Linked DNA regions of Rattus norvegicus. The protein of the gene in region 2 binds, or shares a complex with, the protein of the main gene of each other region. Links are inferred from orthologs where the notes say so. Each region holds a gene or a part of one and is shown on either strand. Other genes may lie near its edges. The genes, in order: Polr2d and Gtf2e2.

Region 1 (11,739 bases), on a different chromosome or scaffold from region 2:
ACCCCCTCCCCATAAACAAATAAATAGAATTCTTAAAAAAAAAAAAAATCAAATAATTACAGTGTTCTGGTTTATCTCTCCCCTTTGCAACAAAGTAAAAACATTCCTCCCATATAATTTTTTTATTTATCATTATAGCTTCAAAAACTACAAAATATATTGACATTAAAAATTGCAATGTCAAGAACAAAAAATATTAACATGGGGTCCAAAAAAAAACATAGAAAGAGGTAGTCACCAAATGTTTTAACATCGGTCTACCTCCCTAGTTCAGGATGGCAGCACATTTGACCATAGCAGCCCTTATAAGGCTGCAATGAGAGGAGATGGTAATTATGGTCTAATAGTCACAGTAATTATGGTCTAATAGTCCCGGTGAAGACAGCACCTAGAGCATCAATAGCCAGTCTTTGTTTCTTCTCCAAAAGTCAAGCTGTAAGTGTTGGCTCACACCTGTAATCCCAGCACTTGGGAGGCTGAGGCAGGAGGACTGTTACAACTTTGAGAAGTACAGAGAGACATTCTATCTCAGTAAAGCGAAAAGTATGACTAAAGAAGTCCCAGTATCTTCGGAAGCAACAGTCCTGCGTGAGGCCCACCCAGGGTTCCGACTGTAGAGCGGTCTGGAGGCTATCTCAAGGAGCAGAGTGACGTCTGGTGATCAGTACTGGAAGCTGCGCTTCGTCTGGATATCATCAAGAATCTGCTGCAGTTCCTCATCTTCAAAACGCCCTTCCAGGCTAGAAGAAGACCAAGAAATTTAAGTGACTTAGAAACTGGCAGTTTTCCCACCCTGTTTTTTTTTTTAAATAAAGATTTATTCATTTATTATATATAAGTACACTGTAGCTGTCTTCAGACACACCAGAAGAGGGCATCGGATTTCTTTACAGGTTGTGAGCCACCATGTGGTTGCTGGGAATTGAACTCATGACCAAAGAGCAGTCAGTGCTCTTAACCACTGAGCCATCTTTCCAGCCCCCCACCCTGTTTTTCAAAGGAGGTTCATCTCTGAGCACCTTGCTTAGCTCTACTACCTTTAAGTTTAAACCGAATTTCTTTTGACATCCCTTATAGAAGCACCAAAAGGTTGTAAATATATAAAAGATTCTAGGGGTTGGGGATTTAGCTCAGTGGTAGAGCGCTCGTTTAGCGAGCGCAAGGCCCTGGGTTCGGTCCCCAACTCCAAGAGGAAAAAAAAAAAAGATTCTAAAAGCTTCAACAGTCACATATGATTTAAACTTTTGTTTGGTTGGTATAGCTTAGTCTTTTCTTTGAGACCAGGTCTCATTATGCAGCCTTGGCTACCCTAGAACTCACAGGGATCTGCCTGCCTCTGCTGGGATTAAAAACACACACTCCCAGGCCCTGCAGTTTTGTGTCTCATTTGTTGAGTGACTTAATGATTATGTCCAATATCTTCTATACCAATAACACAGAATCCCAGAATACCTTTTAGGTCTGGGAGAAGTCCCATTTCCCATTGATTTCTCTAGATATAGTCACATGCTTGGCTACTCCCTACAGGAAGGCGAATTCTGCCCATTTCTAATGCTCCTCTCTGAGGTACTGGGAGCTCAAACTCAGTCCCAGACACGATAGGCAAAAAGTTCTACCACTGAGCTATATTCCTACCACCCTCTTCTGTTCCATATTCTTCCTGTCCTGGGGTATAAGACAATTATTCTCGGGTTGGGGATTTGGCTCAGTGGTAGAGTGCTTGTCTAGCAAGCGCAAGGCCCTGGGTTTGGTCCCCAGCTCCGAAAAAAAGAATAGAGGGAAAAAAAAAAGACAATTGTTCTCAGGCTTCCAAGATGGTTCAGCTAATAAAGGTTGTCTGCCACCAAATCTAACAACCTGAGTTTAATCTGGGAACCTACCTAGTAAACGAAGAGAAACTGTCCACTGACCCTCACGTGCTTAATGTGACATTCACAGGCATGCGTGTGTACACATGCACACAAACAATTAATGGGTAAACTCAAACTATTCTTAAGCCAGCATGCTCGTTCATGCCTGTAATCCCAGCCCTTGAGGTGAAAGCAGGGCAATCAAGAGCTCAAGGAAAGCCTTGGCTACCTGAGACTGCCACCAGCAAAGCACAAAACCAACCCCCAAGTCCCATCTCAAACACCACTCAACTACACTCTTACTCAACGCTAGCATGGCATCAACCCAACTGCTAAACGCTTACGACATGTGGATCTAGCAATCTGACTTAGAGAAATCCATATAAAATAGACAAACCCCATCCCATCCCGTACGAACCTTGGAATCAGCGCTTTGGACTCCTCAGCAGTCTCCGGGCACAGATTGGCTAAACAAGCCAATTCAAACTTATGTAACTTCTTCTGGAGAAGCAGGCTGAGTGTGAGGGAAATAGAACACAGGACGTTAGAGAGGGACAGAGACAGGAAATGAGCACGATCTATACTATACTATATACCTGAATAAAAATGTCACAATGGAACCTGTAATTACCTGCAGTTATATGCTAATACGAAACAAAAAACTACAGTCTCATTCAGTGCTGGTCAAATGCTAAGTCCATCAATAGCAAAAAGATCAAATGTAGGTGAGAAAAGGTATTTATAATCTTTGATTGTGGCTATATGGGCATCAGAATCCCCCTTTGAAATCACTTTCTGTTCCTACCCCAGAAAATCAAGACGTTCCAGAAAAAGAAAACAAAGAACCCACCGTAGACAGCCAAGAACCCTGAGAAGAGCACAGCTGGGTAAAGAGGAATGTATGTGCTGTAACTACTGCCAAGAAACCAGTAGTTGAGAGTTGCTCTTTTCAGAGGTCCCGGGTTCAATTTACAGTACCCACATGGTGGCTCACAACTGTCTGAAATTCCAGATCCACTGGATCTGATACCCCTCTTTGGACTCTGCCAGTACTAGGCACTTGTGTGGTGCAGAGGCAAACACACACATAAAATAAAATGCAATAATAAATATTCAAGGGGCTGGGGATTTGGCTCAGTGGTAGAGCGCTTGCCTAGCAAGCACAAGGCCCTGGGTTCGGTCCCCAGCTCCAAAAAAAAAAAAAAGAAAAGAAAAGAAAAAAAAATAAATAAATATTCAAAAGGAAGTGACTCTCTAGCTCTTTGCTCTATCTGCTACCTTTGATAAGTTAATGTTAAGCAATTCAGGAGATCTGATTGGCTAGCCTATTGCGTATGTTGAGGGAAACTCCTCTCCTTTAACTTTGAAATACCCCAAACTCTGTGCAAATCTGTGTGTAAGCTGCACCTTCAGGATCTCCATAGCCTGCACTATAAAATAAAGCTTACGAGAGAATAAGTTTGGTTTCCAAATGAATGTAGTAAGAACTTATATACTCTGGGGGACTGGAAAAATGGCTCGGCAGTAACAGCATCTGCTAATTTTCAGAGGACTTGAGTTAACAACTGCACTGGGTGGGTCCATGTGTCTACAACTCCTCTCTGGCCTCTGCTAGTGCTGGCACTGAACACACATGGTGCACATATATACAAGCGTGTATATACATATAAACAAAATAACAAAAAATGATTTTCTGTGCCTAATAGCACACATTCACAGCAGCCTGGTCTACACAGCATGCTCTTCACTAAACAGAGATACAAATCTGTCTCAGTAATAATAACGATGACAATAATATAAATTTTTTCTAAAAAACAAAAGACAGTGTGGTGTTCGACACCTTTAATCTCAAAACAGGTGGATCTCTGTGAGATAGAAAACAACCTGGTCTAATATGGAGTTCTAGACCAGCCGGGGCTAGATAATGAGACTCTGCCTCAAAAAAAAAAAAAAAAAAAAAAAAAAAAAAATATATATATATATATATATATATATACACACATATATATATACACATATATATATATCCAAGTTATATAAAGAAATCCCCTCTCCCCGCCCCCTCATGTGTGTGTGTGTGTGTGTGTGTGTGTGTGTGTGTGTGTGTGTGTATGTGTGTGTATAAAATAAAAATAATATTGCTGATGCCAAGTGCATACTGACTGGAGCCTGATATAGCTGTCTCCTGAGAGGCTCTGACAGAGGCAGATGCTCACAGCCAACCACTGGACTGAGCACAAGGTCTCCAATGGAGGAGTTAGATAAAGGACTAAAGGAGCCAAAGGGGTTTGCAACCCTACAGGAACAATATCAACCAACCAGATTCCATCCCCACAGAGCTCCCAGAGACTAAACCACCAACCAAAGAATACACATGGAGCGACCCATGTCTCCAGCTACATATGTAGCAGAGGATGGCATTGTCTGGCATCAATAGAAGAGGCCCTTGGTCCTGCAAAGACTGGATGTCCCAGTATAGGGGAATGCCAGGGCAGTGAGCTGGGAGTGGGTGGGTGGGGGAGCACCCTCGTAGAAGCAGGGGTTGGAGAGATGGGATAGAGGAGTTCCAGAGGGGAAACTGGAAAGGGGATAACACTTGAAATGTAAATACATAAAATATCCAATAAAAAAAATAATAAAATAAAAATGAATACAAGAAATCGTACCTGGAGGGCAGCGAGTGCATGATGGCATATACTAGTAACCCCAGAATTTGTGATGCAGTGGAGAAAATTTTGACTGAGTCAAGTCTGAGAGCCTTTTTTCTGGTAGGCAAAATTTGGGGGTGGGGGTGGGGGCTTCAAGCCCTTGATTACTTTTTTTTAACAGGTTCTATCTATGTAGTCCTGGAACTTGCTATGTAGACCAGGCTGGAGTCAAACAGAGATTCTCCTGTCTCTGTCTCTCAAATTCTGGGATTAAAGGCATACCCAGTTAGGGTTTTTTTGTTTGTTTGTTTGTTTTTCCCCTAAGTATTTGTGTGTGGTCTGTTTATTTAGCCATTTGTGTGTATGTGTAAGTGCGTAAGCATACATACTTAGAAGGCAACTTCTCATTCATTCTCAGAGCTTCTGGGTGCATCTGGGGTTCTATATAAGCTCAGGTCCTAAGACTTACCCAGAAAGCACTTTTGGTTGCATTTGTTTGTTTGTTCTATAGACCAGGCTGGCATCGAACTCAGAGATATGCTTGCCTCTACCTCCTGAGTGCTGGGTTAAAGGGGTGCACCACCACCTCTTGGCTGAAGCATGTTTTACCCACTGAGCCATCTCAGCGGCCCCTGCTTTGTTAGCATTTTTAAAACAGCGTCTCATGCAATCAAGGCTGGCTTTGAACCTACTATGCCCCTAAGGATGCCCTTGAACTCCTGGATCCTACAGCCTCTGTCTTTCACGAGAGTCTATAATAATAAAACCGTTTTGTAGGGCTGGAGATGCGGTTCAGCAGCTGAGGGCACCAGCTGCTCTTTCAGAGGACTTGGGTTTCGAGTCCCAGCACCTACACAGTGACTCACGACTGTCCGTAATTCCAGCCCTGGGGAGCTAACGCCCTATTCTGGCCTCTGTGGGTGTTTACACACATGGTGCACAGACATACAAGCAGCCAAACTCCCATAACACATACATAAGTAGATTTTAGTTTTGGGCTTATGTTCAGTACTCACCTACGAACACTGGCAATGGTCTCTCTGTTTTTGAACCGGCTGAAACGGGCTGTATAGTTCAGGGTTTTCATGAAAACCTCTGAAAGCTCCTGTTCGTCCTCCGCACTCTCATTCTGCTGCTTTCGGTGCTCCAGAAGCATGTGAACTTCAGAGTTCAGGAGCGTCTCAGCTGTTTCGAACTCTGGAAGAAGAATAAATGTGAACTGAAAATACTCTTTTCAAAGTCTCAGCATTTGGGAGGCAGAGGCAGGATGATCTCTGTGTTTGAGGCCAGCCTGGTCTATTATTGATGAGCTGTAAGATAGCCAGAGAGACTCAAAAACACCAAACAAACGAAACCAGAAGGCTAGAGAAATGAGCATGCACTGCTCTTTCGAAGGAAGTTCAATTCTCAGCACCCCATCAGACACCTCATAGCACCTCTCCCCTCCTCAGATACCTGCACAGACATAATTAAAATAAAAATAAATTTTACAACAGTGACATAAGGGCTGGAGAGACGACAGCTCCGCACTTAAGAGCATTGGCTAATCTTCTAGAGGATAAGGGTTCTGCCACACACAGCACCAACAAGATGGCTCGAAATCATCTTTTAAGTCCAATTAGTACATCTGGCTTCTATGGACACCTCACATGCATGCAGACCTACACGCAGGCAAAATAATCCTTATATATAAAAATTTAAAAACAAAGATTCTCCATCTCAATTAAAAACACACACAAAAGACAGAAGATAACCTCACTTGCTGGGGCTGGGCAGATGATTAAGTGGATAATGTACTTGCCACTCCAGTGTAAGAAGCAGAGTTAGGATCCTCAGAACCCACAAAACAGGTACAGAGGGTTCCTATATCTAACAGTTGGTAGGAAGAGACAGGGGATTGATTTCCTGGGGCAAGGTGACTAGTTTAGACTAGTTTAGTAGCAGGAACAGCACTATGCACAGAGGCTGGCACACATCCGACAAAAGGAAGTACCAGACATCCCAAACCGGAACCCATCTTGCTCTCAAACGTTCTTCCTAACTCGAAAAGCTACAACGAAGGTTCAGAAACCAACGGCAACAGCATCTCTCCTCAGAGGCCAGGGCAGAGAGCACTTCTGACCCACAGATCTTGAAACGCTTTGACTAGCACTGTGAGAGGAACCATAGCTCAGCTTTTACTGGCTGCCAATTTTGAAATGAGACCTCTGCTCCAGATCTTCTGCATGACAGGAAAAGGCATAGCTTAACTCCCCCTAAAAATCAAGAGCGATGGCGCATGCCTTTAATTCTAGCACTCAAGAGGAAAGGGCACGAATGTGATAAGGTGGAGGCTAGCCTAGGATACCTAATTAGACGCTCTCACAAAAACAAAACTGCTGGGTGTAGGGGAATTAACTACGAAAGGGTTCATTTGTACCGGGCTGACCAATCAATCCCCCGTGCCGGCCCCGAATGCTCCCTGTGGGCAGGGAACGGATAACGACTATAACTCAAGGACAATGTCACCTCAGAGTCGAACTGTCCCGGATACTACCTTTGGGAAAGATGAGCTGGGAAGCATCTTCTTCTACGTCGCCAGCTCGAGGATCGCTTCCACCTGCCGCCATCGCCCTGCGCACTGCCACAGACACTGCCGGAGACGGAAGCCGCACGGACGGGCTCTTCTAAGGAAAAGAACCAATCCGGCTCCGGGGTGGGGCCAAGTGAATGGGCGGGGCCGAGAAAGCGGGCGGACGACGGTAGGTCAGGCACCCTGCTATCACACTAGGGGAAACCCGCGAGACTGCCCGCGACAGGGGCGGTCCGGGCGCAGTCTAGCGGCTTCCGGTCGTTGGAGGTGTGGTTCTGTGCTGCCTGCTTGGAGATTAAAGTGTTTATTTTCGGCAACACACTATTGCCGTGGCACCTGGGAGCGTCAAGTAAGCCATTTCAGAAGAAAGTGAGGTGCAGGACTGAACTAAGTGGCTGATCCAAGGAATGTCCTATGTTGAAAAGCTGGGTAGGTGACTACAGAAACATACTGAAATCTCTTTCAATGATTGAATTGTGTCTTAAGAAAAAAAAAAAAAGACTAACCCCTGTGTGGTGGTAATGAATCAATCACTGAGCGCGAGGATCAAGAGTTGAAGGAGATCAGTTTGTAGTGGCGCATGCCTTTAATCCTAGCATGCCCGAGGCAGGCAAAGGCAGGTGGATCTTTTGAATTTGAGACTAGCCTGGTTTACAAAGTGATATAAAACCAGGGCTACATAGTGAGATCTTGTCTCAAAAAAAAAAAAAAAATTCACAAAGAGGCGTGGCTACTTAGCAAATTCCCAAGAATCCATGCCAGTTTAGGTAACATACCATCCTGTTAAATTGTTCCTGTGTATTTAACAATTCTGAGCAGGTGAAGTTTAATATTGAGAACCCTTTATCATATCTGTTGAGACATTTGAATAAGTAGAAAGCTAAATGAAAAAGTGATATTTTCAATTTAAAGAGAAACAAAAGTCTATACAATAAGGGGGACAAACACTTCTCCAGTTTTTGGGTCATTAGTGAACACTAGTAAACCCTGTAACTTAATAAAAAATGGGCTGGAGAGGTGGCTCTGTGGTTAACACTTGATGCTTTCAGAGGGCCTGGGTTCATTTCCCAGCACCCACACCAGATGGCTCACAAACACCTGTGACTTCAGCTACAAGGGATCTAAACCCTTTCTGGTCTCTCTTTTGGAGGTGAAACACACCATACACACCCTTCACATACACAGAAAATAAATCTTTTTAAAAATTGATAGAAGTATTTATTACAAGACAAGAAAATGTATTTTTATTATATATACAGAGGTGCACAGAAGAGATTAGAGGATAATTTTGTGGAATTTGTTCTCTGTTTCCAGTTTTGCATAGATTCTGGGGATTGAACTCAGGGCCTTTATCTGCTGCATGATCTCACTGGTCCAAGAATAGGTAGTCTTTTGGTTTGTAAATAAAATGAGTTTTACAAAACTGCTGTGTATCTATATTTGTAGAAGGAATGCATTGGTTAAAATAAATGGTTATATAGTATTGACAGCTTTTTAACCATTTCTCGGTGCTTTCCTGAACAGCATGTGAGAAATCACAACAGGGACTGGAGAGACCTCCCAGCAGTTAAGAGCATGGCTGCTCTTACAGAGGTCATGGATTCAGTTCCTAGCATCTACATGGTGTCTCGCACAGTCTATAACTATTGTCCATGGTGTTCTAGTGTGCAGACATACATGTAGACAAAATACCCATACTCATAAATAAACCTTAAAGCATAAGACCTTTATAACAGACATGCTCCAGCTTATCAGAACTCCTGCAAAGATATTCAGGGCAGTAGTTCATAGTCATACTGCACCTAGGTAGTAGAAATGGACTTGAGATTCAGTACACACACACACACACACACACACACACACATAATACACATACACATACATACACACATAATACACACATATACACATACACATACATACACACATATATACACACATACACATAATACACACATATACACATACACATACATACACACACATATATACACATACGCACATACACACACACACACACACACACACACACACACACACACACACACAGAGGCATGAAAGGAGGGAGGAGGAGAGAAGTCACCAGGCATAGAGAGAGAAAACAAGAGTAACAAAAACATAAAGTGACATTTCCCAGGTTGGCCCATGTGTACCATTTTCATTTAGGAAGCCATTATAAGCCATCTGTAAGTCCATGAGGTTAAAATGATGAGTAGGGTAAAAATCTGTCCCGAACATGAGCTCACTAAGAGTAGCGAGTGCAATATCTGACGGGTGATGTAACACAGTCAAAGAAGGTGCTAAGGAAAGATCAAGAGTCCGATGTTTGGCTGTAGTTTAAATGTGTCTCCTAAAGCTTCGTGTCCTGGAAGTCAGAACTGCGTAGGAGGTAGGGACTAGAACTGGAGAGGAGGTTCAGTTATGACAGTGCTTGCTTTTGCCAGCATGCGGACCCAGATTTCATCTGGGAGAAAGTTCGAGGGATATGAGTGGACAAGGAAAGGAAAAGCAGCCTCCCTTAGATTCCATGTTCACAGAAGAACATTTCTCATTGGGAGAAATGGCAGAGGAGCATGAGGACGGGCATCTAAACAGGAAGAGGCGATCCCAGGGGCCCCAGAAAATATTCAAACCACAGTCTACTCAGGAGTTCCAAGTGTTAGGCTTTTATTCCTTTTACTTCCCCCCTCTCCAGGGCTTGGTCTTCTGTCTGTCCCTGGTGTTCAGTTCTTTTTTTTTTTTTTTTTTTTTTTTTTTGGTTCTTTTTTTCGGAGCTGGGGATCGAACCCAGGGCCTTGCGCTTCCTAGGCAAGCGCTCTACCACTGAGCTAAATCCCCAACCCCTCAGTTCTTTGTCAGTATCAGGGCCACCAGCACCCTTGTTACAGATCATAAGAACCCACATAAAGTGCTCATTATCCCAGCCCTGAGAGGAAGAAGATATATACAATCCCAAGAGCTCTCGGGCCGTGTAAATCAAGGATGGTGAGAGACCTGCCTCAAAGAAATTGGATGGCATTCCTGAATAGGGATCCAATATCATTTTCTGCCATGTACATGGACACACGTGTACCTGCAGACACATGAACATCCATACACAGAAAGAGAGAGAGAGATGTCTTGGTGTCTAAAGGCACTTTCTACTAAGCCAGAGGAACTGAATTTAATTGGTAGGAGAAAACCGACTCCCAAAAGTTGTCCTCTGACCTCCATACATGCACCAGAGGCATATATGTGTGCATACATGCAAACTATAAAAATTGCTTTAATGAATTTTTAAAAAGAACTGAGGTCTAGTGGGATGCCCTTAGATATTGGGGGCATGGCCTTAGGAGGAATTAATGTATTTTGTACTCTTTGCACACCAGACCGTGCATCTCACCTTTATCATGTTCTCTTTCCCTTTTATATCCATGATGCCATGTGAAGGGAGGTCCTCACCAAAGCACCATGCCCTTCAACTTTCAGAACCCTGTGGTTCTGCAGGTTAAGCTTGATATGTAATCCTGACTGTCAACTTGAATGGCTTTTATCCACTGAACTTCATCTTTGCTCTTGTCAGGGATTCTGGCATTGTAAAAATCTGAGGGAGAAATGCACTTTTTGCTCCCACATAACACAGCTAAATGTCTTGATCATCTTGATTTTTTTTTTGGTAATTTTTTAGATTTGTTTATTATTTTGAATGCATAAGTGTTTTGGCTGTGTGTATGTCTGTGCACCGCTTGTGTGCCTGGTGCCCAAGGAGGTGGTGAGCTTCTGGGTGGGTACTGAGAATTGAGCCTGGGTCCTTTGAAAGAACAAGTGTTCTCAACCACTGAGCCAACTCTCCATCTTGTTAAGGATGGATTTACTGGCCAAGCAGGGGTGGTGCATGCCTTTAATCCCAGCACTCCGGAGGCAGAGGCAGATGGATCTCTCTGAGTTCAAGGTCATGCTGGTCTATGAAGGGAGTTCTAGGACAGCCAAAAAGCCTACACAGAGAAAGCCTGTCACAAAAACAAACAAACAAAAATGATGGACTTACTTTAACAAAGATTTGGAAAACTTGTCCTCCCAGGTACTGAAGTAAATAAGCAAGACATGACCAGAAAGACTTTCTCAGGAACATAATAGTGTCCTGCTACCTTCTCATGACTACAGGATGGAAAGCATCCCGGAAGTTGTGTTGCCTCAGGCAGAGCAGGTCTTTAAACTGAAGATCTGATGGGGCGGCAAATGCAGATGGTTCACTATAGTTGAGATTACGTAGTGAGTTCTGGGCCAGCCCAGGCTACATAGTGAAACCCTGTCTCAAAGTAACAAAACCTTCAGCTCTCAAGCCAGTAAGATGACTCTGATCTCATTGCTACCAAAGATCATGACCTGAGTTCAGTCTGAGACCCCACATGGTGGAAAGAGAACCAGTTCCCAAAAGTTAGATGCTCACACAGGTACAGGCACACAGATACACAAATTAAACAAACAGCCCAGGTCTCTGGACTGGGATATAACTCAATGGTAGAGTACTTGCCTAGCATGTGAAGTCTTGGGATCAATCCTCAGAAAGACACCACACACACACACACACACACACACACACACACACACACACACAAAGAAATATCAAGACAGCCTAAACTTGGAGGTTTTCAAGCCTAGATGTCACAGATTCTTTGGAGAATCACAC
Region 2 (11,197 bases):
GCTCAGTGGTGAAGACACTGGGCTGCTCTTGCAGAGGACCTGGGTTTGATTCTAAGCAGTCACAAGGTGGCTCACAAAGATCTGTAACTTTAGTTTCAAAGGCTCTCGTACCCTCTTCTGGCCTCTGTTGGGCATCAGGAATGCAAGTGGTGCAAAAAAATACATGCCAGCAAAAACATTCATTAAAAAAATAATTAAATCACAAGGCACTACACTGTAATTTCATGTACAAATGACTTAAAACCTTTCAAGTGAGCATTTCAGCGCATTCTAGGATGTGATAGTAGATATGTGTCTTTTAGCTATAAGCTAAGAGATGGTGATGCTAAAATCGCCAACAATATTAATTTACAATATAAGTATTGCGAGCTTTATCACCTTAAAACTGTGACATACTTGCAACTTTAAGATCTACAGAAAATGTCTCACCTTCATCCACAGAAAACTGACAGCTTTTATCATTGAAGAATAGTATTTTCTTCTTATCAGGACGACTTACAAATAGAATCTGGTCCCCTAAAGCCTTAAAGATAAAAAAAAATTAATTAACATCAAATTACTCATTTAAAAACACACACTATACATATGATACACATACTCTCTCACACACACATATCTGTATCTATATATAGGGAGGAAAGAGAGAACACAAAGGCTTTTCTTTCAACCCACAGTCATCATTAGAGCCTACGTGCTCCAGGTTGGAGCTGAATTTCTTTCTTTACTAATTTTATCTCCGTGGATACTTTCAGATTTCTTAGATAACTGTCAAAGAACATAAAGGTCTATGTGTGTCTCTGTTTCTGTGTCCTTGTTAGTGCTTGAAGAAATGCAGAATCCAGATATCGACTTTGGGTATCTTCTTCCTCATCTTGTTTTGTGGGACAGCATCTCTCACTGAACCTAGGTGAGCTAGAGAACCCCTGAGAGCTACTTGTTTTAATGTGCCCTGGAGCTGGTACTGGTACTGTTGCCTGGGCACTGGGGACCTGAACTCAGGCTCTCATGCTTGTCCAACAAGTATTTTACTGACTACAAAACATCCTCAGCCCTCAAACTTCATCTATTTTTTTTTAAGTATAGAATAGAGGTTATACAGGGCATGGGGAGGGAAGTTGAGAGGGCAGTAGAGACAGAGAAAGGCAGAGAGAGAGAGTAAAGGAGTATAGGCCAGCCATTAGCACATGGGAGGGGGGTTGAGATGGGGGAGCAGGAGGGAGAGGACAGAGCTAGAGCAATAAGGCAAGAGAGCCAAAATTTCATCTTTTAAAACAAAATGTAAACCAGGAAGTGCCACATGCTTTAATCCCAGCACTCCGGAGGCAGAGGCAGGTAGATCTCTCTGAGGCCAGCCTGGTCTACAGAGCAAGTTCCAAGTCAGGAAGGGCTACACAGAGAAATCCTGTCTAGAAAAACCAAAGCCAAAAGAAATAAAATTAGATAACTGGATCAACAAAAATGCAATGTACACATATAACAAACAAAGGGGAGGAAATCCTCCCATGTGCTGCAACAGTTGAACCATAAGGATATAAAAATAAGCTAGTCACAAAAACACAGACACTGGTAAGGTCAGACTCAAACACACTGGTAATGGCTACAAACAGTGGGGAAAGAGTAGTTGTTGAAAGGTGCTGTTCAGTTATGCAAAACAACAACAGTTCGGGAAATCTTGAGCATTAGAATATGACTATAACCCCTCTGAATTATACATTTAAAATAAGTAAGGTCAGGCTGGAGGGCGCTTCCATAGTTAAGACACTTGTTCAGTCCCATGCACCCACTTGGTGGCTCCTGAACAACTGTAACTCCAGCTGCAGGGATCCAACACGTCTTCTGCACTCCACCAGCACCAGGTATGCACACGACTCACATACACAACAGTCATTATCTACAACATCTATACAGGTCAAAATTTGATGCCATGAAGTTAAAATTTAAGATAGTTCTACTTTTGATAAATCTACACACTGGATCTTGAACATTTCCCAAAAGACCCACATTTTAAGGCATGGCCTCAGGGTGGCACAGTAGGAGCCAGGTAAGATAAGTCATTAGATCACCAAGGGAGTGACTGCGACTCTCTTTTCCTTCCTGGGCATGAAGGTGGTGGTACTTTTGCATTACTATATGCTCCTGCCATGGTAGACTGTCTCATAAAACTGAGCATGGACTGAAACCTCTAAAATCATAAGCTAAAATAAGCCCTTTGTTTGTAACTCTGATTATGTCAATTATTTCACTGTGGTTCAGGAAAGCTGAATAACACGTGAGAAGCTCGTCTGGTGGTGTTATATCACCAGGGCTATCCGTCAGTCCAGCACCCAGGATGTCAACAGGAGGACCAGGAGTTTAAGGCCAGTCTTAGGCATGTGAAGTCTTATCTCAAAATCAAAAGACAGCCCAGGGTAGACACAGACACAGACAGACAGACAGACAGACAGACACACACACACACACACACACACACACACACACACACACACACACACACACCCCTCTTTAGTCCCAGCATTCGGGAGGCAGACATTTCTGTGAGTTTAAGAACAGCCTGGTTTACAAAAAGTGGTTCATGCTGGGCAGAACTATATAGTGAGACCCAGACTCTCTCCTCCACTGCTACACCTCCCAAAAGAGACCATTTCATTCCTTCAGAGGCATTTAGTTGATGCTGGGTAAGCTGGAGGTCCAGTTCAGCCATTCAGCACTTGCTCAACATGCAATGGCAACAAGAAGCTTTTACAAGTGAGTCTCAGAGTTAACCCAAAATGTCGTGTTCATAACCCTAACTTTCACTGCAAACTCCTTAGGACATCAGAACTTGTTAGTAAGCAATGGCCTTAGTATGCTTTAATGCCTCTAGTTCCCGGTGTAAGCATTATCAAACACTATTGTTGGAAGAGTTTTTATTTCAAATAACAAGAAAACCAATGTCTTTGAGAAAAACTTTCTAGAACTCTTCTGAAGAATTAAACCCTGATGCAACATAAAAACAAAACAAAAGCCACCCCCCCCCAAAAAAAAAACCTGTTAACATTACACAGAGATGATTATTTTCTTTCTGGCTCTGTGGCACCGAGTGTTTTTAGTTTGTGAGTATAAGTGCTTTGTCTAACTGCAGGTATGAGTATTGTGTATGGCCTAGCCCTCAGAGGTCAGAAGAGAAGCCACTATCCCTGTGACGTGGAGTTAGACATTGCTGTGAGCCACCATGTGGGTGCTGGGAACAAAATCAACTGCTAAACCATCTATCCCTCCAGCCCCACAAAGTTCAAACTTTAACTGGATCACTAAGACGCCAGGATAAACACTTTAAAAAGAACTCCATATCCCCCCAATCCTAACCCTAACCCTAACCCTAGGACCCAAGTTCAGGTCCCGTCACCAACAGCAGGCAGCTCACACTGCCTGTAGCAGCTTCAGCTCCAAGGGATCCAACAACATGCTCTCCTTTCCTTGACGTGGGCAGATACCCAGACACATACATAAAAACAAATATATCTGAAAAGCATAGGAAGCCGGGCATGGTAGCACATGCTTTCACTCCCATTTCTCAGGAGGTAGAGGCAAACAGACCTCTGAGTTCCAGGACAGCCAGGGCTACACAGTAAGACCCTGTCTCAGGAGATAAAGAAAATTTTAAAAAAGACATTACCAATTCAATCTATAGCTACGATGTAGGAGGAAAAGAATGATTACCTTGACAGCTTTCTGAGAATTAGGCAATCCCTCTTCTATGTCTTCTAAGAGAATGCCTCCCAGTCCTCGCTGGTCATGGTTATCTAGAAGCCTGAGCAGGGCCTTCTTATCTTTCAAGTTGTACTTAGGTTTGAAGGCGTATTTCCCATCTACTACTTCAATTTTGGGATTGTTGACTAAAGCCTGTAAAAAGAAACACAATTTAGATATATGTATAAAAGCAAACCTCATGTGTATGTCCTTAAATTCTTACATCCCCCACATAGTGGCATATTGAAGTATCTTTTTTTTTCTTTTCTTTTTTTCGGAGCTGGGGGCCGAACCCAGGGCCTTGCGCTTGGTAGGCAAGCACTCTACCACTGAGCTAAATCCCCAACACCCCTTTGAAGTATCTTATAAACATAAACTAGCAGACCTGAAACACTGGGCATCTAGGATCCCAGAACAAGTGGATCAGCACAGAGCTTGCCGCTTATTTAAAAAGAATGAAAGATCTATACATTATTTGCATACATTCTTTAGAGAGAAACCTGTTTATCACAACTGCTTTGAAGAACCTTTATTCTTTTAGAAGACAAGGTAAGAATCAAAAAAATACCTATTAGTAGACACAGTGAACTAGGTATCACCTACTCCTCCTCCAAAGTATACCCAGTCTATCTCGTACTGGCAAAAATTAGTCAACAGTAAGTCCTCCTCTCCTGGCATCAGCTGAAACTGAAGCTGTGGAGAGAACAGAAGGCCAGCCTAACGCACATGGAAACGTTACCTCTAATGTCAATAGAACACAGCTACTGAACCTAACATTCTTACAAGATCTGGTACCAAGCTACTGTCAGAAGGAAAGCTCCTCAAGAACAGAGCAACCGGGGCTGGGGATTTAGCTCAGTGGTAGAGCGCTTACCTAGGAAGCGCAAGGCCCTGGGTTTGGTCCCCAGCTCCGAAAAAAAGAACCAAAAAAAAAAAAAAAAAGAACAGAGCAACCCAGCCTGGTAGTAAAGGAGCTCCCAGTTACTCAGTAGGCTAAAACAGGAAGATTAGACAGTGAAAACCACCTAGGTTACAGGTACACTAGGTCAGCCTGTGCAACTTAGTGATTAAGTCTCAAAGCAAAAAGTTAAAAGGAAGGCCAGAGATACAGCTCAGTGAGTACTTGACTAATATATAAAGTCCTTCCTGTGTCCAAGCCATAGTACCAAAAAGAGAAAAAAGAAGCCTACATACTTCTTTCTCAATTGCCAATCAGGCACAGAAAAAGAGAAAGAAAATGAAACAGAATAGTACTGACTAAAAATAATCTTTGGGCGGCAACATGGTTCAGAGTTCTCTAAAAGCACTTGACACAGAATCCTGACGACACATGTTCAACCCCACATATGGGTAAGAACAAGAGAGTAAACGCTGATGATAAACAGAACTGCCTTTGGCTGCTCCATGCGAACTGTGGCACACATGTACCTACCCACCCTTATGCTCATAACGACAGATAAAATTTTTAAAAATGTAAAACTTGAGTGTTGCTAACTATATGGAACTACATTTACGTAACTCTGCATACTTAGCTATGGATTACCATCATCTGTGTGTCACCAATATTTATTATCATCATCTACAACATCTCCGTGTAAACAGATTCAAGTTAAAAATCTTAGGTAGAGCTGGCTGTGGAGACTCTACCTGTACTCTCGGCAGTTAGGAAGCTGAGGCAGGAAACTACTGCCAAGTGAGAGCCAGCCTGAACTACAGGGTACGATTTTAGCTAGAAGTAGTGGTGCAAACCTCTGACCCCAGTACTTGGGAAACAGATGGATCTCAGTGAGTTTGAGGCCAGCCTGGTCTATACAGTGAGTTTAGGACAGCCAGAACTACACAGTGAGACCCTGTCTCAAAAAAAAAAAAAAAAAAAAAAAAGAAAGAAAACAAAAACAAGCAAAAAATCACACATATATTGGGGCTGGGGATTTGGCTCAGTGGTAGAGCACTTACCTAGGAAGCGCAAGGCCCAGGGGTTGGGGATTTAGCTCAGCGGTAGAGCGCTTGCCTAGCGAGCGCAAGGCCCTGGGTTCGGTCCCCAGCCCCGGAAAAAAAAAAAAAAAAAAAAAAAAAAAGGAAGCGCAAGGCCCTGGGTTCGGTCCCCAGCTCCGAAAAAAAAAAAGAACCAAAAAAAATCACACATATAAAAAGAATAAAGCAAAACCAGAGCAATCTTAGGTGGGTTCTGATTCTAGTAACAGGTAAGTGACGGAAGTCGTGACCTTCAATGATTTGGACTAAGTCAAATCATTTTATAGTATGAAAATCAAGAACTACATCTTGCTGGATAAAATAAATTCAGTTAGGCCAGTCATGGTAGCAAATGTATTTAAAAAGACTATGTGGGGTTGGGGATTTAGCTCAATGGTAGAGCGCTTGCCTAGCAAGCGCAAGGCCTGGGTTCGGTCCCCAGCTCCGGAAAAAAAAAAAAAAGAGAGAGACTGTATTTTATGTAAATGAGTTCATATATATACATACACTTTATGTATGAGTATGCTATCTTCAGACACAGCAGAAGAGGGCATCGGATCCCTTTACAGATGGTTGTGAGCCACCATGTGGTTGCTGAGAATTGAACTCAGGACCTCTGGAAGAGCAGCCAGTGCTCTTAACCACTGAGCCATCTCTCCAGCCCAGCACATGTCTTTAATCCCTGCATTTGGGTGGCAGAGGCAGGAGGATGGGAGGATGTCTATAAAAACCTGCCTGAAATAAATAAATGAATAAATGATTAATTATATCGGGTTGTTTAGGGATATTTCATGTTTTAAATGTTGCCAGGCTGGCTTTGAACTCACTATGGAACTAACAATGCCGTAAACTTGGGGTCCTTCTGCTTTGATATCCCAAGTGCTGGGATCACAGACATGTGCCACTATATCCCCGCTCATATTGGTCCTCAGACATATCACTGGTCTTGAACATATTATTCTTCAGTACCAATAGACTTTAAAGAAGCGAACACCCAAATAGATAAGATGTAAGATGTCGTTCACTTGCAAACTGGCATGGTTGGTGACTGTTTTAGGCTTCCTTCAAGGTGGTATTTATTTAACATAACAATCATATTATTCCTCTAAGTAACTAGAAATGATAACTCATTTGCTATAATGCAATAAAATGTTACTGTCCCTAACGCCTTAGGCTTTAAGTTTTCTAAAGCACACATGCAATATATAACTTACAAGCAATTCAAAATACTATTTATGAAAATGAAAACAAAATTGGTGACTGACTTCACAGCTCTACTGTAGTCTTAGAAGACTTTCTAAAACATAAATAAAATTATAATATTATGTGGAAACCAACAACCAAATTATAGAAATGTGTATGTTTAAATTCAACCAAGACTCTACATCAAGTCTTTTAAGAAAAAGTAAAAAGTATTAACAAATTACAGGATTTATTTAAAGAACAAAGAAACACTCGGAGCCAAGCATGGTGACTCTTGAAGCTAAAGCAGAGTGCCCTGAGTCCGAAGTCAACACACACTACGAAAGACCCTGCGTTGCCTGCCTGCCTGCCTCCCTCCCCCACTCACACACACACACATACACACACACACACACACACACACACACACACACACACACCTCTAGATAGATGTAGCAAATACCCATTTTTACAAGTTTTAAGAGTCGTCTTACCTCTGTCATTAGCCATTGTTTCTGCTTGAGTCCAATGTCTAAGTGCTGTGTTTCATCCAAAATCTCTTCCAGAGTTAAGGGATGCGTATCTCCTCGCTGATGTCGTGTCTGTAGAGGAAAGTTTTATATGTAAACTGATATAAACTGATCTTTTCAGGAATATACAACATGTAATATCTGAGGCAGTATGACTACCAGGATCAACAACATGAAATCATACAAAACCAGATTGGTAAAAAGTCAAACGATAAACTAACAAGGAAAAACATCAGTTTTCCAACTTTAAGCCAGGTATGGGAGTACACACCTGTAACCGCAGTATGTGGGATGCTTAGGCAAGAGAGTCCTAAGTTGAAGACCAGCCTAGGCGAAATGATGACTTCAAGTCTAGCCTAATCTACATAAAAGTTCAAAACTGATAGAGGGTACATAACAAGATGAAGATGTATTGATCTGGAAGAGGAGGATGACAGCAAAAACAGACTTTCCTTTTTTTTTTTTTTTTGGATCTTTTTTTCGGAGCTGGGGACCAAACCCCGGGCCTTGCGCTTCCTAGGTAAGCGCTCTACCACTGAGCTAAATCCCCAGCCCCAAAAACAGACTTTCCTAGTTATTGCAAATCAATTAAACAAAACTTGCAGGAAACCATAGATAACAGAAAAAGAAATTCAAATGTCCTTAAACATAAACAGACAACTCGCCAAGATGCTTCTCACGATCAGATAGAAAACTATGAATGTCTGATGCGTCATAGGAAATAGGCTTTCTCACTGACTATCACAATATAAAGTACCTCGACCCTTACAGGAAACAAAATGCACTCTTAACAGCATGACCATTGGTGAGGACTAATTTAGCTACAGCACAATAAATGCTATATAGTTGTTTTCTTTTAAACAGGAAGTTGTCTGTGTGGCCATTTCACTATTGGACCATAGTCGTACGCTCATGCTTCAAGAAAAGGTCACCTCTAGTGTCCTCCACTGTGGTAAAAGGGATGGGCTGGACACAAACAATGAGATCACCGATGGCAACTTCCGTAAGTAGATCCAAAAGCTGATCAGGGATAGACTGTACACACACACACACACACACACACACATATATATTGCCAACTTATGAATGCCAAAGGTGGTAACCCAGAGGTGGGGGATGTGGCTCCTGAACGGGCCTCTCAGAAGACAGTGAGATTCTAAGATTAATCCAGTCACCGCGCTGTGCACCTGGATGTTAAGGGAAATGTGTTCTAAAGTAAGTGGCTTCTCATGGGACACATCCATCTAAAAGGTGAACAAGATACCACAGGGATAAGACAGCAGGATTAAGGACTGAGAATGACTTGTGTCTCAATCTTTTCATATTATTCTATATTTTATATTTATTCTGTATTTTCAAAGGTCTTATACCTGTCTTTTCTGTGTACATTTTAGTATGGTGTGTGTGTGTGTGTGGGTGTGTGCGCGCGTGCGGGCGCGCGGGCGCGCGGGCGCGCCCCTGCGTGGCTCACACATGCACGCACATATCTGCTAGCACTTTCTCTGAGGTTCTCACTTCTTGCTGTAAAATCACTGTGTTGATTTGAATAGTCAGGACCCCGAAGACTCATGTGTTTGAATGTTTGGCCCATGGGGAATGGCACTATTTGGAGGTGTGGCCTTGGAAGGAAGTGTGTCACTGGAGGGGAGGGGGAGGGGGAGGACTTTTCTCAAAGTCTCCTATGCTTAAACTCTGTCCACTACGGAACTCATCTTCTCTCTTGCCTTCTGGATCAAGATGGGATTAAGATGTAGAACTCTTGGCTCCTTCAGTACCGTATCTGCCTGGATGCATGATAATGAACTGACCTCTGACACTGTAAATCAATTAAATGTTTGCCTTTATAAGAGTAGCACTGATTATGGTGTCTCTTGAAGCAATGAACTACAACAATCCCTGCATCTACCTCGGTTGCCCTATAACTCTCCTTGAACTTTCCATAGTTTTTAGTGAGCAACTAAAGAGGTCTACTGCAAGTATTTGTGATGTTATATTTACCTATTTTGCTTTTGAAGTTCCTTTTATAGATCCTCTAAAAGGAGAGAAACAGGACAACTGACAAACCTTGCCAGTTTACAAGTTACTTTCTATTAGATATGCACACTTGCCCTTTAAAAACAGGCCTTAGGAGAAAGGAGGGAGAAAGGAAGAAGGGATACAGCCCGCTTCCACTCACAATTTGCAAGGGTTTTGCTTAAATTCAGGCACATTCAATCTTTTGACACTATGACACAGTTGTCATCTACAAAGTCCATACACCAGACCTTGCAACAAAGATAAAATAACAAAAAACTGTTTAAAAAGAAAATCTAATATAGCTCAGTGAGCAGAGTGCCTGCCCAGCACACATACAGCCTAACTAGGCATGGCACCACACCCATAACCCTAGCACTGGGAGCTCAGGGAGCTGGGGACAGGAGGGTCAAAGCCATCCTCTAGACAGTGAACTGAGGCCAGCCTAAAGTGGTGCTCAGTAATAAAAGATGATTGCTTAGCATGCACAAAACCCAGAGTTTGATCACCAACACTGTCCTCCCATGCCTCCACACAGACACAGGGCACTTTGGCCCTACCTACAACACTCCAAATTCTCATATACTTTGTAAAACTGATCGGCTCCCCTTTTAAACAACTTCTCCTCTTCTAATCCTAACGTACTTCAACTCCATTCAGTATTATCCAAGAGTGCACTGTTCTCAGGAAAGTGTGAGATAAAAAACAAAGAGAATAACACCCCCAATCCAAATATTTAAATCTAAGTAATTTTCTTCAGGACTCCCAAAGTTCATTCCTTAACTATTAATTTTGGGGAAAAATGTATATTTAAAGAGCTAAAGCGGGGCTGGGGATTTAGCTCAGTGGTAGAGCGCTTACCTAGGAAGCGCAAGGCCCTGGGTTCGGTCCCCAGCTCCAAAAAAAAGAACCAAAAAAAAAAAAAAAAAAAAAAAGAGCTAAAGCAGTATCTACTGGGAAGCCATTTCCTTTAAGTAACAAAAATATTTACTAGGACTACCAAGCTGTTCTAATTATGCTACGTAAAAACCCATTAAGTGGTATATACCTTTAATCCCAGAGGCAGAAGATCTCTGTGAGTTCCAGGCCATCCAGAACAACATGGTAAGACCATGTCTTTAAAAATTAAAAATAGGGGTTGGGGATTTAGCTCAGTGGTAGAGCGCTTGCCTAGGAAGCGCAAGGCCCTGGGTTCGATCCCCAGCTCTGAAAAAAAGAACCAAAAAATAAAAAATAAAAATAGAAAAATAGAAAATGGGGGGGAGGAAGGCTGGAAAGATGGCTCCGTGGTTAAGAACAATCACATGGTGGCTCACAACCATCTGTAATGGGATTGGATGCCCTCTTCTGCTGTGTCTGAAGACAGCTACAGTATACTCATATAAATAAAATAAATTTTAAAAAAAGGGGGGGCGGGGGGGTTTAAGGTGTTTGCTGCCTAACCTGATGGCCTTAAGAGTTTCATTTCTGAGGCTGGAGTGATGGCTCAGCAGTTACGAGCACCAACTGTTCTTCCAGAGGTCCTGAGTTCAATTCCCAGCATCCACATGGTGGCTCACAACCATCTGTAACGGAATCTGATGCCCTCTGGTGTGTCTGAAGACAGCTATAGTGTACTCATATAAATAAAAAAAAAAAATTTTTTTTTTAAAAAGTTTGATCTTTAGAACTTAGTGTGTAAGGAGAAGACCAACTCAGGGCTGGGGATTTAGCTCAGTGGTAGAGCTTGTCCTAGCAAGCGCAAGGCCCTGAGTTCGGTCCCCAGCTCC

What was found.
Region 1: Gtf2e2 (region 2) and Polr2d share a complex: the UniProt entries of both Homo sapiens proteins name them as parts of the TBP-based Pol II pre-initiation complex. The link is inferred for Rattus norvegicus from reciprocal best matches to the Homo sapiens genes GTF2E2 and POLR2D.

The regions. Positions count from the first base shown.
Region 1 is NC_086036.1:23,688,001-23,699,739, reverse strand, and holds Polr2d (DNA-directed RNA polymerase II subunit RPB4), read right to left. Parts: upstream 7,163-11,739; 5' UTR 7,108-7,162; coding exon 7,035-7,107; intron 5,696-7,034; coding exon 5,515-5,695; intron 2,365-5,514; coding exon 2,269-2,364; intron 741-2,268; coding exon 662-740; 3' UTR 31-661; downstream 1-30. UniProt on the Homo sapiens protein: Core component of RNA polymerase II (Pol II), a DNA-dependent RNA polymerase which synthesizes mRNA precursors and many functional non-coding RNAs using the four ribonucleoside triphosphates as substrates.
Region 2 is NC_086034.1:65,117,670-65,128,866, forward strand, and holds part of Gtf2e2 (transcription initiation factor IIE subunit beta), read right to left. Parts: exon of another isoform or gene 10,543-11,197; coding exon of another isoform or gene 10,477-10,542; intron 7,488-10,476; coding exon 7,380-7,487; intron 3,883-7,379; coding exon 3,700-3,882; intron 524-3,699; coding exon 430-523; intron 1-429. UniProt on the Homo sapiens protein: Recruits TFIIH to the initiation complex and stimulates the RNA polymerase II C-terminal domain kinase and DNA-dependent ATPase activities of TFIIH. Both TFIIH and TFIIE are required for promoter clearance by RNA polymerase.